Oreochromis niloticus: one gene and its partner. The protein of the gene in region 1 purifies or fractionates together with the protein of each later gene. This does not show direct contact. Links are inferred from orthologs where the notes say so. Each region holds a gene or a part of one and is shown on either strand. Other genes may lie near its edges. The genes, in order: map2k1 and lamtor3.

Evidence for each region.
Region 2: the proteins of map2k1 (region 1) and lamtor3 purify together in Homo sapiens (affinity purification with western blotting; 3 studies listed by BioGRID, with this or other methods). This does not show direct contact. The link is inferred for Oreochromis niloticus from reciprocal best matches to the Homo sapiens genes MAP2K1 and LAMTOR3.

The regions. Positions count from the first base shown.
Region 1 is NC_031972.2:51,630,227-51,638,923, forward strand, and holds the start of map2k1 (dual specificity mitogen-activated protein kinase kinase 1), read right to left. Parts: upstream 3,491-8,697; 5' UTR 3,268-3,490; coding exon 3,185-3,267; intron 1-3,184. UniProt on the Homo sapiens protein: Dual specificity protein kinase which acts as an essential component of the MAP kinase signal transduction pathway.
Region 2 is NC_031983.2:3,095,053-3,103,398, reverse strand, and holds the start of lamtor3 (ragulator complex protein LAMTOR3), read right to left. Parts: upstream 3,563-8,346; 5' UTR 3,481-3,562; intron 415-3,480; exon of another isoform or gene 282-414; intron 59-281; 5' UTR 12-58; coding exon 3-11; intron 1-2. UniProt on the Homo sapiens protein: As part of the Ragulator complex it is involved in amino acid sensing and activation of mTORC1, a signaling complex promoting cell growth in response to growth factors, energy levels, and amino acids.

The DNA of each region.
Region 1 (8,697 bases):
GATTCAGAATTCCTGATTGTTGCCTCATCCCAACATGTTGCTCTTTAGTCCATTAGAGCCCGGCCAGCAGCAGCAGGAATGTGCTCGACTCTCGCCAAACATTATGTCATCATCAATAGCTCCTAATGAACAAAGCAGAGGCACAGCTCATCTGTTTAACATTGTCAGCACCCCAATCCAACACTGATTACTTTAAGTCCTGAAAGTTGATCTGTTGTGCTCACTTCAAGCTCCATGTTTTTATGCGTTCAGTATTTTTTTGTGCTTTTCCTGTCTTACAGACCATCCATGTCACACATTAGCCACATATTCATACAGCACTTCACGTTATACATTGCACATCCATGGCCAATTTAGAATCAAACCAGTCGATCTTTGGGAAGAGGACCCAAAAGAAACCCATGCAAGCACATGGAAAACATGCAAACTCTAAAAAGGAAGGCGCAAGCCAATCGCAAGATTCATGTGCTGCGAGGCAACAGTGCTAACCACTGTACCTGACGTCATACCTTAACTCTACTACAGCTTTACACAATTCACAATTCAATACAATCCCCTTTCATCGTACACCAGCCCTTCATGCATCTCCTCACTTCATTCACAGTCTGAAAAAAAGCCATTTTAGCTCCCGTCCCTATAAAGCCCCTCTTTCTAAAAGCCCACTTTTGTGTTGTTCTCCTGCTTGATCAGTAGTGTAGAAATTCTGAAACCAACATACAAAACCTACACAATGTCCACTTTTCACATTCTTGCATACATGTTGGAGCTCAAAATCTGATCCAGAACAGAGCAGACAGCGACAACATCCACAGCAAAACGGATTTCATCAGAGTTACTCAATAAGCATTGGGCTCATTTTGATGTCACAAGAATGTATAAATAAATAAACAGTTTTCCTTCTTTCTTTCTCTTTTAGCACTCCTTCGCAACTAAGAAGGTATTTGGTCAAGCTCTAGAACTTGCAGATAACTCTTAAGTAGAACACTGAAGAAAAATGGTTCAGGTTCAGGTGATTCTTGGGCTCTTTCTGTGCCCATATAAGGACATTCCTGCCTTATTGACATCAACCAGGCAGAAGGAATGAAAAACAAAATGTTTGCAGCAGCCTTAGCTTTAGGTTCACAGGGATTACATGTACATGATTATCAGCCGATATATATTTTAATAGTGAAAAGATCTTTACATTCAGTATAATAGAATTCAAACTACAGCAGACTTTCCATCAAAGCAAGCTAAAGTCAAACATCTGCCCTTGGCTAAAAGTAAACTGAATCTTTAAAAATCAGAAGAGGAGGTTCTGTTTTTGGTAGCATTTACATGTCTCATTCCTTGCATCAATAAACATGATAACTCAAAAGGTTTTGAATGAATTCTGATAAAACTTTGTAGGGGTGTAGAGTGGGGTCATGTTAACAATCCATTCAAATTTGGCTTACATCCACCAAGGTCTTCAAGGTCAACCAAATGATTTGTTGGGCAAAAACTGACAAAAGCCCTATAAGTTTTACACCTATGGCATGTGTGACATGTATTGTCAACATATAGAGTGTATTGTATATACTGTGTAAAGATTTTAAATATGTCACTTATGACCTTTGACCTCTCCAAGGTCAATAGATTAATCTGAAGGTCAAAGTGATAATAGTGATCTTTAGAGCTATTTTTAAAACTATGTGTCTTACTGGTTAAAATTTTATAAAATGTATTTCATCTTTCAAGCTATGCTACAAATTCAAATACTGGGAACAGTTAAGAAATGATACTGGTTTATGGGGATTTTAAATACCACATTATAGTTTGTATCCAAATGTCATGTCATTTGACCTTTGGCCTCACTTTTACATTTCTACTACTCTAATTTGTATCTTACTGAAAACTTCTTAAAGTATATTCCTTCCTGTTTTTTTTAATGTTTTTTTGTATTTTGTAAATCTTAATGTGGTGGACTAGTGGACACATTAAAAAAAAAATCTTTCTTGTTGCTTTAAAATTACCATTGCTTAATGCAAAATGGTATTCAAACATGACTCAGTGTCATTTTTTTTAGTCTTTAATTCATTGCCAAAGACACAGATGGCCTTCAGATGTGTGCTCTAACAACGAAACAATGATATATTCAGACTCTACAACGCATCAGAAAAGCAGCCATCATAACCGATGACATGTTATGTAACTCTCATCTCCACTGATCCAGCTTGTTGCAGGACTCACTGGGCTTTTCTCAGCAAACTGAGGGCTAGAGGAGGATGTCAAAACAATTTTATGTCTCCATTACTGTGTTTTGTCAAACAATGGTGGGAGCAGGACTTTGCAGAACTTCTTCAGCAGACAGAAATATAATTCTGTGTGCTGCCTCGCTGGAAAGCTCTAACTCTGACTAATCACACCAAGTGGGCTGTGAGAGTAACAAGGAGACCTGTCCATCCATGACACCACGAAGAGGACTTGACAGCCGGATGTTACAGAAATATTATAATGAGAAACACAGTAACAACAATAATTTGTGAAAATGTGAAGTAAAACAGGAAAAATGAATGAAATCATGAGGATTTTGACAGCTATTTAGCACTTGAAATGATAAAGTGAAATGAGTTTCCAGTTTTCTCCATTTTACATCATTATAAATTAAACTTCTTTAACTATTTGATAGCTGATTAGTGTGTAACAAATAGTCCACTGAAGTCTACTGAATTATGATTTAGTGGCTGTTTTAACAACATTCAAGCATTTTCTAGAGCCAAAAAATTATCAATGTGATCAACCTCTGTTTATTCCCTGTTTTATTTCAGTTTGAACGGAGTATCTGTGTGTCTTGGATTGTGCTTGAAGAGTAAATCTAATGAATTAATCAATCAATCAATGCTGTAACCTATAAAAATGCAACATGCAACCCAAACCACATAAGCTATTTGAGGAACCATTAATGGGCATGTGTCAGTAACTTTTCAGATTTAAAAATATTTCATTTTCTCAGTACAGCAACTGATAACAATGCCAGTGATCAATAGTTGCAGTAGAGGACAAGCTCAAATACTTGGTGCAGAGTACTCGAGCACACACACATACGGTATTGGCTGCTGTCATACCGAATCCAACATACATCAGGTTATGTATCAGAAAGCAGTTATCTGTGTACTACATTCCCCTATCTGGATATCAGAAGCAGATTAATATTGACACTCACTCTGTGGCTCCGCTGCCGTTGATAGTGTTTCCATCAGGGATGGGGTTGAGTTGGATCGGCTCAGGCTTCCTTCTCTTCTGCATGTTACGTGCAAGAAACAAGCTGGTGTAAAAAAAAATATATATATAACAACAACAACAAATCAACACACGAGCTGCAGCAGTGTAGACGGAAGCCCGATACAGAAGAGGTATCTGATATTAAGAAGACACTGTTTATCGGCAGTGACTGACAAGGGAAGAAACAGGCAAGGGTTGTAATGAACTGCAAGGCTGAGCAGCTGATTTCTTCTTAATGGGTGGAGGTGAATGAAACGTCACAAAATATTTTCATTGGTCTTCCGGAAAGCGTGGCTGGGCTTGCTGCAGCTCTCCCTCTGCTGGTGATAGGCGGTATTACCATGCTGTTACTAAAGTTTCATTTAAACGAGCAGGAAGGCGGGAATTAAGCGCTCCACTAAAGGGAGCATATTAGCCAAAACTAGAGTAGCTTTGCATTTTTCAAAAATTATCTTTATTTATAAGAAATGCAGTCACTCACTTCATCCTAAAAACTGTTTGAAACATGTCATTTTAGCCTCTTTCTTCGGATTGGCTGCCCCTCCTAAACTGAAAGTTCTAATAACAATTGGGTGGGCCCAGAGCTGTGTGCTTTCAGGGGTATCCACTCTCAGTGACATAAATTATCTGAAACCAGGCACTTAAAGTAGTCTGAAATCTGAGTTTTTGGCTCACAGGGATTACTCATACATATACTGGCCTCTTTATTCGAAACTTCGGCCACATTTAACATGGCCAATGTTAAATATGGTAAAATATTACATAACAGGCTCTGACTATCATTGTCCAAAATGGCATAAAAACCTAATAGATTACCATAACATAAAAAAGGACTACTTTCCTCCACAGGGAACCACACAGTCTGCTACTGGAACAAACTCTAACCAGCAAGCAAATGACAATCACCCCACTAAGCAATAAGTATGATGCTTATGAGGGCCCACAAAATGGACTCCCTGAAAACCATCAAAAACCAGCTAGAACTAAATGGTGACAAAAAAAGTAAAAATATGTGATGGAAGTGTATTTCAAGACCTCATATGACCACTAATAACCTTGCAAACAACAGAAGGGACGTTATTAAAAACGAGACTGACAGAGACTGAAATTCAAAGGATAAAAGATGAAGCATCTCAAGAGCGGGGAAGAGATGTGAATCACCAAGAAAACAATGTTGCAGCATTAAGTGCTGAGGAAAATGAGCAGAGCGATGAAGTAAACCAACCAAATGAATCAGACCACCCAAATGCAACACAGTGCTGATGAAAAAGTAGAGGAAATGGTAAACAACATACTGAGAAAATGGGAGACTGTAAAAGAAACACTGATGAAAGACCACTAATGCTAAAGATTAAATGTGACAGGCATGCAAAATCAGCATTACAAATAACTAATAGAGCAATCATGGCTATTAATGGCTATTAATAGCCATGGCTATTAATCATGGCCACCATCTTCAACCTCTCACTGCTACAGTCTGTAGTACCATCCTGCCTTAAGTCAGCCACCATCGTTCCAGTGCCCAAGAAGAACACAGTGAGCTGCTTGAATGACTATCGTCCAGTTGCTTTAACACCCATAATTGCCAAATGTTTCGAACAGCTCATCATGTCACACATTAAAGCTGCCATCCCTGCAAACCTCGATCCACACCAGTTTGCATACAGGGCAAACAGGTCGACAGAGGACGCCATAATAACAGCTCTTCACACAGCCCTCACACACCTGGACTGTAGTAACACCTATGTGAGAATGCTGTTTGTGGACTTCAGCTCTGCCTTCAATACAGTTCAACCCCACAAACTGGTTAATAAACTAAGCAACTTAGGACTCAGCAGCTCACTGTGCAGCTGGATACTGGACTTCCTGAGCAACAGACCCCAGAACGTAAGAATGGGAGAGCACACCTCCTCCACCCTCATTCTGAATGTGGGTGTCCCACAGGGGTGTGTCCTCAGTCCCCTCCTATACTCACTTTTCACCCATGACTGTTCACCTATCCACACCAGTAACACCATTATAAAATTTGCTGATGACACCACTGTCATAGGACTGATCGACAACAACAATGATTCAGCGTACAGAGAGGAGGTTCAGCATCTGAAGCAATGGTGTGACGACAACAACCTGCATCTGAACACAGCCAAGACCAAGGAGATGGTAATCGACTTCAGAAGAACAAAGCGATCTGAGCACTCTACCCTCTACATTGATGGGGAGGAGGTAGAAAGGGTAGAAAGCTTCAAGTTTCTCGGAGTCCACATCTCGGCCGACCTTACCTGGTCCACAAACATCTCCCACCAGGTAGGGAAAGCACAACAAAGGCTGTACTTCCTCAGGAAACTACGTCAGGCTCAATTACCCCAAAGACTGCTAGTAAACTTCTACCGCTCCACCATTGAGAGCCTTCTGACTTACTGCTGCACACTCTGGTTCAACTGCTGCACTGCGGAGGACAAGAGGAAACTGCAGCGGGTGGTGAGGGCAGCAGAGCGGGCAATCGGCACCTCACTAACTCCCCTCAGAGACATCTATACTGGCAGACTTCAGCAGAAAGCCAGCATCATCATTAAAGACCCCTCACACCCTGGACACTCACTTTTTTCCCCCCTTCCCTCTGGTAAACGCTACAGGTCCATCAGGTCGAAGACAAACAGACTCAACAGAAGTTTTTACCCACAGGCTGTCAAACATGCCCTACCTCCACCCTGATTGGAGGATAACTGCACTGCCAACACTCATGGACATTACACCTTATTTATAAATCGTATTTCTGTTTATACTTCAATGCAAACAACACCCCTACCTCTTTAAACTGTATTTATTATAACATTATTTAGTATAGTTCCAACAGCACCCCCCACCCCACTCAATGTGCAATATCACTGATCACACTGCACCTCTCAATGCACCTGCTAGTTAGATGGCATGTATGTGTATGTATATAGATGTAAGTGTGTATGTGGAAATATGTGTGTGTATGCATGTACGGATGCAAATATGTATATATACATATATGTATGTATGTGCGTGTATGTTTGCAGGTGTATGTATAACTTGTACATATCTTTCTTGTGTAAATGTAAATTTGTCATTGTGTAAATACTTACGCTATTGTGTACTTCACACACATGGAGAGATGCCAAACTGCCTTTCACTGTTCTTGTAACAGTGACAATAAAAAGCTATTCTATTCTTCTATTCTATTCTAAGAATAGGCTTGATGATAAGCTATCCCTTGCTGAAGTGAACAAATTATTTTATGCCGCTGCCTCTGCAGTCAGTGACATCTTAGGCATAAAAATTAGGAGGAGGGGACACAAGGAAACAAAACAGAGACAATGGAAAAAAAAATAAATTGAAGAAGAAAACCAAAAGACAAGAAGTGAAAGTTGAATATTCACTGAAATCACTCGAGGAAATAATGTCAAGAAATGGAAAAGAAGAGTTCATAAGTAAAAACAAAAAAGTTTCACCAAGAATTAAAAGAAGAGGATATTATAATCATGGAAATACCAGATTTTAATTTAAAAAAAAACAACAAACTGTCAAAACATTTGGACTAATATCTGGGAAAAAGAAGAACATCATAATGAAAATGTTGAGTTGATAAAGGCCTTTGAAAAAACAAAGATACATGTGAACAAGCCAGAAATAACAGTGGAGGCAACAACAACAGCTATCCGAAAAATCCAGAAACTGGGAGACCCTGGGGAATTATGGCGTAACAAGCTTCTGGCTAAAACAACAGCACTACATGAAAACCTGACACGATCATAGAAAACCATGAAGGATGGCCTCCTTATTGTTAGTGCCCGACTAATGCAGTCGGCTAACAAGTGGTACTACTTAATCCTACACTGTATAAGACTTTAAAATGAATACCAATAGCCAGATCCTACAAGAATCTGGTGGACAACAACTTGCTAGCACTAAAACAAAAATACTGTAGTTATGTAGGAGTTATGTAGATCAACTACTTAATTATGGCTTAACTTAATAAAGCCATAATGAAGGCGATTAAGACTGGGAAAAGAAATAATCTTACTCCTTTTGGTTGACCACAAGAAAGTATTCAACTCTGTCCAAAATAAGAACATTTCAGGGAAAAATAAAATACAATGGGGAAGTTTAGTTGGTGATTCCTTAATTGGCTGTTCGAGTCACTGTGAATCTGTGTCTCTGTGTTACCACTGCAATAGACTGGCAACCTGTTTAGGGTGTACCACAACTTACTCCCTCTGACAGCTGTATTCGGCTCCAGTCTTCCTGTGACCCCGAATAGGATGAGATGGATCGATGGATAGAAAAGATGTCCTGTACCCTCTAAAGACATTAGATGGAAGAGGCCTTACTAACAAAACAAAAACATTGGACACATACCTCAAAAATAAAGAAGACAATCTCCTTAACAAAGCTAAAGATAGTGAAAGAACTACAAAAAAAAAAAAAAAATCATTATCACTGCACTAATGAAGCCGTTATATTCAAAAGAGAGCTCAATATGCCAAAGATACAACTAATGGAAAATGAGCCAACCACCAGCTAAGCAGAAATGGCAGGCAAACATCAAACCCTATAACAATGAAAGAGAAAATGGGAAGAAAATGCTCCGGACAGTATTTGAAATGAATAAATGGCAGAGATGTGGACCAAACAAGCTGCTGGCTTAAAACAGCAGGCTTACAGTCAGAAACTGAAGGGCTCATTATTCCTGCTTAAGATCAATACATTAAGACCAACTGCTATTGAAAAGATGAGGCTGAACTGAATTGAACTGAAACAAGATCTTGAAACATGGCACCAATTCAATGTCCTTGACAAATGTGACAACTTTTAAAAAGTGGAAGTAAACAAACACTGAATATGTGGCAAATAAGAAGAGACAATAGAACATCTAATGTCTGGCTGCTCTGAATGAACTCAAACAGAATAAAAAGACTTTTAGATCTGTCTATCTTAGATCTGTCAAAACAAACTGATAAACAAATCAAGACCAGCATGACTTAGTTAATTAGTTAGTTAGTTAGTTGTCTTCTCATCCCCCTCCCCTCACTGCCAACTGGTCATAGCAGATAACTGCCCCACCCTGAGACTGGTTCTATTGGAGGTTGGCCCCTAGGCAGTGCTCACAAAATGAGGACTTTATCCATTAAGATGGCATTGATAGTTCTGTTCAAGGGATAAACCTGGCCTGATGTGTGAACAGAGCAGGACTTTAGGAATGACAATCTCTGGAGAGATCTGAAAATGGCAGTGCACCATTGCTCCCCATCCAACCTGCTGTAGCTTGTGAAGTTTTGCAAAGAAGATTGGGAGAAACCACCCAAATAAAGGTGTGCCAAGCTTGTAGCATCCTACACAAAAATACTTGAGGCTCTAATTGCTGCCAAAGATGATTCAGGAAAATACTGAGAAAAGGCTATTTTGAGTGAAAAATGAATTAATCAATTG
Region 2 (8,346 bases), on another chromosome or scaffold:
ACATCGGCCATGGCAGCTATCGAGGTATCGAGACCGCTCGACGACTGCAGGGAGATGACTGTAATGATAGTTGTTCACACAGAGGACTGAGTACGTCGTCGGAACTTCACATTCTTTTATGTCAAATAAACCACACAACCACATGAGCTGTTTCCCAGATAATACAGCGATAATATAAATGCGTCAGTTAATATCTCCTTATTAACCTACAAACACATGATAAAAATAACCAGGCAGGCAAATCGGAAATACACATTAAAATCTCAAACGAAATGACAAACCTTTGAACGACTTTAAAACAAAAACATAACCCTCAGTATCTGGAAAGGGAGATTAAAAAAACATAATCACGTGATTACTTCTTCTTCTTGATTTTAGTGGCTGGCAAACTACAAAGTGTCGCATTAGCGCCACCCACTGGTATAGACCTGAAAGGTGCTCAAAAATCACTTTCTTCTCTTTTTGTAGTACATTGATCACCTTTCACTTTACTGAGCTTGGATCGGTTGCCTATTCTCTATTGGTGTTTTTCGTATTTGATGTAAACTGCACAGAGAAAAACACCAACAGATGAATATATGAATATGTATTCATTATATGAATATGTCTTCCCTCCATCATTCCTTTCTTTTCTTTCCCTAGTTGCTTTTCTACGTTTCCCCAGTTTTGGTCTTATTATGCTCTTTATTTTATCCAGCTGCCGTTGGTAATTAGATCAACTGAAATTCTTTCTTTGGCTTCTTTTACAGCCAAATCTAAATGTTCTTTTCCTTTTATCCCATAATTTGCTGATAAGGGTGGTACATTGTTTCTGTGCTTTGCACTGTCACCTGAGAGCAAAAGATTTTCTGGCTTAAACCCTGGCAGGTTCTCCCTGTGCTTGCAAGGGTTTTCTCCAGCTCCTATGAGACATCCATGTAACATTAAGTGGTCATACTAAACTGGCCAAATGTGAACTAGATCATCTTAAACAGTGTATCTTGATTGTGGCCCTGTAAATTTACCCAGTTCCCAGTGATAATAGTTCTCTTTTGATTTCTAGTGGCATTTCCTTCATCTGTATCTCTAATACTGTTGCTGGGGTTGATTTAAACACAGTGTGCAACGTCTTAGAGGCTCTTATTGAATACAGTTTAACTTGTACAACTGTTGCTGAACCATACCCGAGATCACAGGTATCAAACTCCAGTCCTCAAGGGCCAGTGTCCTGAAACTTTTCCATGTGTCCCTGCTGCAACACACCTGAATAATATAAGTAGGTCATTAGGAAGACTGCAGTCAGCCATTTGATTCATGTTACAGCAGCTCATAAGTGAATGAACATGGTGCAATAAACGTACTTTTAGACTTTACTTCACTTTAATTTACTTCAGTAGGATTAGGGGTTGCCACCTCAGCATGCAGTGGAGTTCTATAGAGTCTTGCAAATGACCTACTAATTTTATTCACATGGAAAAGTTTCAGGACACTGGCCCTTGAGGACTGGAGTTTGACATCCCTGATCAAATACTGATCTGATTGACCCGGTGTATACAAATTTCTATCTATGCCCATTCGCTTCCAACTAAACACCTCGTTACATTTGATACTTTTTTGCATTCTTCTTGCACACATTGCTCCGTTGTCTGCAAAACATGAAATCCTCCAACCCAGGTAGATGAACTGCAGGTGAGTAATCATCCCAGAGAGGGACTTTCCACAAGTATAATTATTTGTTTCTTAGATGGGAGAATATAGGGTGGTACCCTGGTAAGTACAGATAAGTAAACAATGAATAGTTAAACTTGTCCTGTGAGCAAACACTTAGTGACAGTGTAAAGGAAAAACTCCCTTTTAACAATAAGAAACCTCAGGCTAAGGGAGGAGCAGCCATTCTCTACAACCAGTAAAGGGAAAAAGGGAAAGAAGAGAGTAAAGAGAGACAGAATCAAAGGCAAACCATGTAAGAGAGAAATAATCGCTAATTATTAAATGCACCAGTGGTGTATAAACACAAAGAGATTGAAAAGAGATGAATAAAAAAGAAATGCTCAGTCCATCACGGGAAGCTCCCCAGTCTTTTGCAGCATAACTAAGGGGTGGTACAGGGTCACCTGATCCAGCTGATACACTTTATCAAAAATGGGAACCTTAAGCCTAATTTTATAAGTAGAGAGAGCATCTGCCTCCCTAATTGAAGCTGGGACCTAAAAGTAGCGCCTCAAAGCTAAAGGCTATGTTTTCCATTCAACTTTTAAAAAATCTAAGAATCATAAGGAACCCTGCAGTCTGAAAGCAAAGTTAGGATAATGAGGTATGAGGTCTTTAAGACACAGTGGGGCATAATTATTCAAGATTTTGAATTCTCTCTGCTGCAGCCAAAGGCTTCTCAAGCACCTTTCAGAGTGACCTGATGGAACTCTCTAACTGTGTGAAGCTGTGATTAAAACCACTTTGTTGCAGTTACTTTAATACCAACAGTTTGTATCTCTGCAGTAAAATACTGTGCTCAATAGTAATGAATGTTGCACTGAGCATCTAGCAGATGCTGAGTCTAGCAGAACAGGCACAGGGATGAGTTAACTGTCAGAGGCCATAAGAAGACAATTCACTAGTGCTGTTTCTGTGCTATCATGCACTCCACATCCTGACTGAAACCCTTGAAACTGTTCCTATGCAAATGATCAGTGAACTGCTTGACTACTACTCTTTCAAGAATTAAAAAAATAAATAAAACAGGTGCGTCAGCCTACAGTTTTGGGAACAGGTAAGGCATCACCCTTTTACCTGTTCCCATAAAGAAACTGAGACTGCCTCTCTCCTTCTAGTATTCTCTCTGCACAATAAAGGGAGGGTCTGTATGTAAAAGCAGTTCTCTGACCAGACTGCTTCATGTGTATGGCGTGGCAGTGCGATTTTCCACTGTCTTTAATGAAAAATGGTGCTTTTGTCACGGTACTGTGTCTGTGACCCAGTGTTTTGCGTGTTTTAGTTTTCTTCTTTGGTTAGTGTTATTTTCTCAGTGTTTCCTGGTTTATTTTGAAAGAGTCTTGTGTGTCTTTGTCATTGTGTTTCACTTCCCCTGTCTAGTCAGCTGTTTCCCTGTGTGTTTTCACTTCCTCTGATCACCTCCTGTGTGTATTTAAGTCCTCGGTCTTCCTTTGTTCATTGTCAGGTCGTCTGTTTCCCTCCACGTCTCGTCACAGTATTCACAGTCGTCATAGTTGATTCATAGTTCTACAGTCTTGTCACAGTTTTCATAGTTTTTTAGTTTTTCCCAGTTTAGGTTTCAGTTTAGCTGTCGCTCCTTGTTTTGCCTTTGCTCAAATTTTATGTTCATGTCTACCAGCCAAAATAAACGACTCGCTTTTGTTTATGATGGGGAGCTGAGCACCCCTAAAACTCTGAACCTAAATTTGCCCCTCCCCATTCTTACATGATCTAAATTACATTTTCATCTAGGTCAGCGAAAAGAGGTTAGGAATAGACGATAGGAAGTACCTTTAGAGAGTGATGGGATGCACTGTGCCAAGGCTTCGGAGTGTGTGTCGAAATATCCAGGAAGTATTTTATGAAACGTGAATCGAGGCTTGTTTCCTTAAGAGTGAGTGATGTCACTGACGACGCCTGAAGCCTGGCTGGTTCAGAAAGTGGTGGTGTGATTTTTGCTCATATATGGAAAGCCGTGGATTCCTGTAAAATTTGTGTGTTAGTGTTCGTGCTTGGAATCGAGAACTGGTTCTATGGGCTCAAATGTGGTCATAAATATTTTGTACTTGTAAATCAGGATTTGTATGTGTAAAAAGAATTTGTGCGTGCGTAAAAAAGATTTGTATGTGTAAAAAAGATTTGTGTGTGGACTTAGCCAAAAAAAACCCTGCAAGTTACAAGTACGAATTTTGACCCTATTTTTCTTCCTGTCATCTGATTGGTCAGTGTCATGTCAATCACAAATGTAACAATCCAATCAGAGAACAGATGGGTTTGGCTGTCGGAGGGGCACTTTTTTGAACTGCAGGTCCTTGAAGGGTAATACAGTTTGAAGCTGGAGGATCTCTATATAAATATCCGATAGCAGCTAGGTCCCCTTACTTTCAGCAGCTGTTGAAAGGATAAAGTTGTGGTATGTCAGTGGTTAGAAATACCATTATTACTTTAGGATTAGTTTAACACAAAGTCAGGGCTGACCCGGGACCATTGCTGTGAGTCACAGTGCGCAGCATAAAGGTCCTTTCACATCGGACGCAGGATGTGCTGCTAATGCTAACTGCTAACTAAAAGCAAAGGATCCAGAATTTGTTGCGCTGGCTGCTGAGCTCTGTGGGTTTTTGCAGCAGCGCTACCTGTACTAGATGCACCTGCTCCTTGTCGTTTCTATCTCTGACTTTATGTCCTCTACAACAGTTTCTGGTTTTTTTGCTAGTTCTTTAAATGTTCAATAAAAACATGTATGCTAATTCATAACGAAGAAAGCTTTGTAATGAAGACTGTCATTTCCAAAACACTGCCCCCCCCCCCCGCGGTCCGCAGCGCTGTTGAAAAGGCTGTGGAAGTCCCTGTATAAAGCACGTAGACCTGTGACACAAAAATCACCAAACTCGGACGACCACAGACTGTTTTCCTTCGTGGTGATGAAGGAAAACGCTGGGTTGGCATGTAAAAGGGCATTTATTCCCTTCAAGGACCTGCAGTTCAAAAAAGTGCCCCTCCGACAGCCAAACCCATCTGTTCTCTGATTGGATTGTTACATTTGTGATTGACATGACATTGATCAATCAGATGACAGGAAGAAAAATAGGGTCAAAATTCGTACTTGTAACTTGCAGGGGGGTTTTTGGCTAAGTCCACACACAAATCTTTTTTACACATACAAATCTTTTTTACGCACACACAAATTCTTTTTACACATACAAATCTTTTTTACGCACGCACAAATTCTTTTTACACATACAAATCTTTTACACATACAAATCTTTTACACATACAAATCTTTTTTACGCACACACAAATCTTTTTTACACATACAAATCTTTTTTACGCACGCACAAATTCTTTCTACACATACAAATCCTGATTTACAAGTACAAAACTGATTTACAAGTACAAAATATTTATGACCACATTTTGAGCCCATACGGTTCTTGTACAGAACCAGTTCCTGGTAGAACAATTCCTTGGACTCGTTAGTCTGCCAGTCTATCAATGCCGCTGATCGACTCTTGCATTCTCACTACGATCATATGGACATTACTTTTATTTTTATTGTAAAAAAGGATGAGATCGTGATGGTAAAGTGGAGATTGATCCAGGACAGAAACTATTATTATTATACTGTTAAAACAACTTCGGCTCTTTGCAAGCACCTGTGCAGATAGCATGCTAATGCTAAGCTAGCCAAGAACCCAGACTGATGTTAAAGCTGAGTGGATGCTGACCCGTGAAAAAGTCAGCCGCTGCTGAACTTCAACAGATAACAAAGGGATGAGCAGTCAAGGTGCAGCCTCCATTTCTATCTGCTCATGTTTCTACGGTAGAAGCACCATGACAATCACTTTAAAGTGTCTTTGTGCTGGTTTTCATCTTTGCTTTGTGTTGTCAGCTTTGTGTTCATGTCTAAATACTAAGAGAAAGACATGTGTGTTCTCATCAGGATAGGGATTTGTGTTGGTGTGTGGGAATGTAGCCTCTAGGTTTATATTGTTAATTGGTAATTATGAGACAGTGTGTTTCAGATCATTTTACAGACTAACATGAAAGTAACTTAACGAGTAGTATGAAGAATGTCTTTGTCCTGGGTGTAATTAAATAACGTACTGCATTACTTTTAAGGGTTCCTCCACAACCTAATTGGACAGCTAGGATTTAGAAAAACTGACAAACAGCTGGTCTGTTTGCCTAGAAGGCTGAGTAACTTAACATAATCTGCAAAGGCCCTGACAGGGCACAGAGCAGCCTGGTGCCAAGCTACCTCCTGATTGAAGCCCCAAGTGGGAGCTGACTGTAGCTCAACCGACTGGGACAGTTGGAATTCAGACAGGGCCTTCAGCAGGAATGCATTGTTGTACCAGATAATTACCCCTTTCTCGTCAATATGGACTGACAGAGCGTGGGTCTCGCTAATCCTCCTGGCAGATGCTATGGCCACCAAAAAGGCCGTTTTGAGGAAGAGCAATTTCACATCAGCATCCTCAAGTGGGTCAAAGGGAAGACACTGAAGGGTGACAACGACCAACTCCAGGTCCCTTAGGAGAGCCAGGGGTCCAGGCCTGCAAACAGTCCCCAGCGGTAGGAATAGGCAGCCCTTGTGGATGGTGCACAAGACTCCTGCAGAGTTTCTATCACTGGCTCAGGCAGCCCTAAGGCAACGAGCGGAAAAAACACCAGGGCATGCGGATCCAAAGAGGTACCACCAGAATCAACCTCAACCTGTCCTTGGTCTGAACCTGGCAGAGGACAGACTCGAGGAGGGAGAAAGGAGGGAAAGCATAGAGTAGAGTCTGGGGCCAAGGGTGGGCAAGGGCGGCCCGCCCCTTGTCAAGGTAGTTCGGGACCCTGAGGCCCCGTAGGCTCACAGGTGCGAGAACCGTCCGGGGAGTTTCCCCTTTGAACCCGAACCTCAGGAACTGCCCGTGCCCCTGCCAGATTGGTATCTGAAAGTAAGCAGACCTTTTGGTTGATAGTGGCAAAGCAAAAGTGGCAAAAAACAGATTCTTAAATCCGATTAATATTTGACTCTCCAAATCCAAATTTTTGTGGTACTGTGAATAAGAGTTTCCAGTTTACCTCATCAACAGCCTTTTGATGTCCACTGTAACAATAACTGATTCTTTTTTTGTCTGAGAGACTGAGCTAATAAATTTAATAATCTGTGTGTTACTCGGGGAGTGTTGACATTTAATGAAACATGTTTGGTCTTAATATATTAAGCATTTCAATTCTTAATGCTTTACTGATCATTTTCACATACTTATTAATAAGTGAGAGGGGTAGCTGGATAGTTGTGTGGGGTCTTTAAGATAAAGATATAAGTTGAAATCAGTGCTGGCCGGTGGTAACACAATATTTTGGGGGTGGGGGGCAATTGGGTCACACAAAATAAAGCATTTTACAGGTCAGGACAAAAACACAAATTTAAAATCTCCACAAACACTTTAATATTCCTTAAACCTGAGCAATTGAATAAAATTTTAAAACACAAATATTGACACAAATCTTAACGCAAAGTCCCAGCAAAAGTTCACACCAGTCTATGATTCCAGACAGAACGTGCCAGTTTTTGTCGTCTCTTTGGTGTGCTTCAATGTGCTTCTTCTGCCAATTCTATAGCCTTCATCCAGCTGTTCTACTATGTTAAGCCTGCAAAAAATGTGTAGCTTGATGCTATTGTCCAAAGAGCTGCAGCTACTGTCTTGTCTTTTGCACTTTTCTGTTAAGTGCTTTAAGTCCCGTATACCCATGGTGGTCCATAATGTTTTGGCACCAGGACTTTACAACAGCAGACACGGAAAGCAAAAGAAGGTGTTATTCACATTACGTCCCGTAAGCCATCTCCGCTCGTAATATAGCGTGCTGGAGAACGACTGTATATATGCTCTTCCAAGATCCATGGACTGCTGCTGAATATCTGATTCTGGATGGTCGGGTCCAAGCTCTTTAATTCTTTTCTTTTCTTTGGCCGACTGCCTTAAAAATGGACGTTGTACATAAACAACTGAATTTAACTGAATTTAACTTTACCATTTCAGCAGAAGTTGCCATCCTCAGTCAAGAGCTGGCTAACATGTGAGTGCTTGTTCTTCTTCAAGACAAGAGTGCCTGTGCTGTGACAATGTGTGAATGATGATGTTGGATTGTATTGTGTAAACATGTAAATGGTTTAAGGCAACAGCAGAGAGTGTACATTCAGATAAACTGCTGGCTTAGGTTGGCACAATCTTTGAATATGGAAGACAGCAGCTGTGACACCTGCAACATGCAGGGGGTAACTCTGTCTGCTCTACATGCTAACACCCCACTTTTCAGTTATTTATTTGTAAAAAATGTTTGGAATCATGTATGATTTTCGTTCCACTTCTCACGTGTACACCACTTTGTATTGGTCTTTCACCTGGAATTCCAATAAAATTGATTCATGTTTGTGGCTGTAATGTGACAAAATGTGGAAAAGTTCAAGGGGGCCAAATACTTTTGCAAGCCACTGTATATATGTGTCCATATTTTTTGAATGTATACATACACATATACACACAGCATATACACATGTGTCATCCATAGATATAATAATATATATAGTTGCACATAACGACACACAAATACAAGCACACACACAGATGAATCGACAGAGACATACACCCCCACCTGTACTGA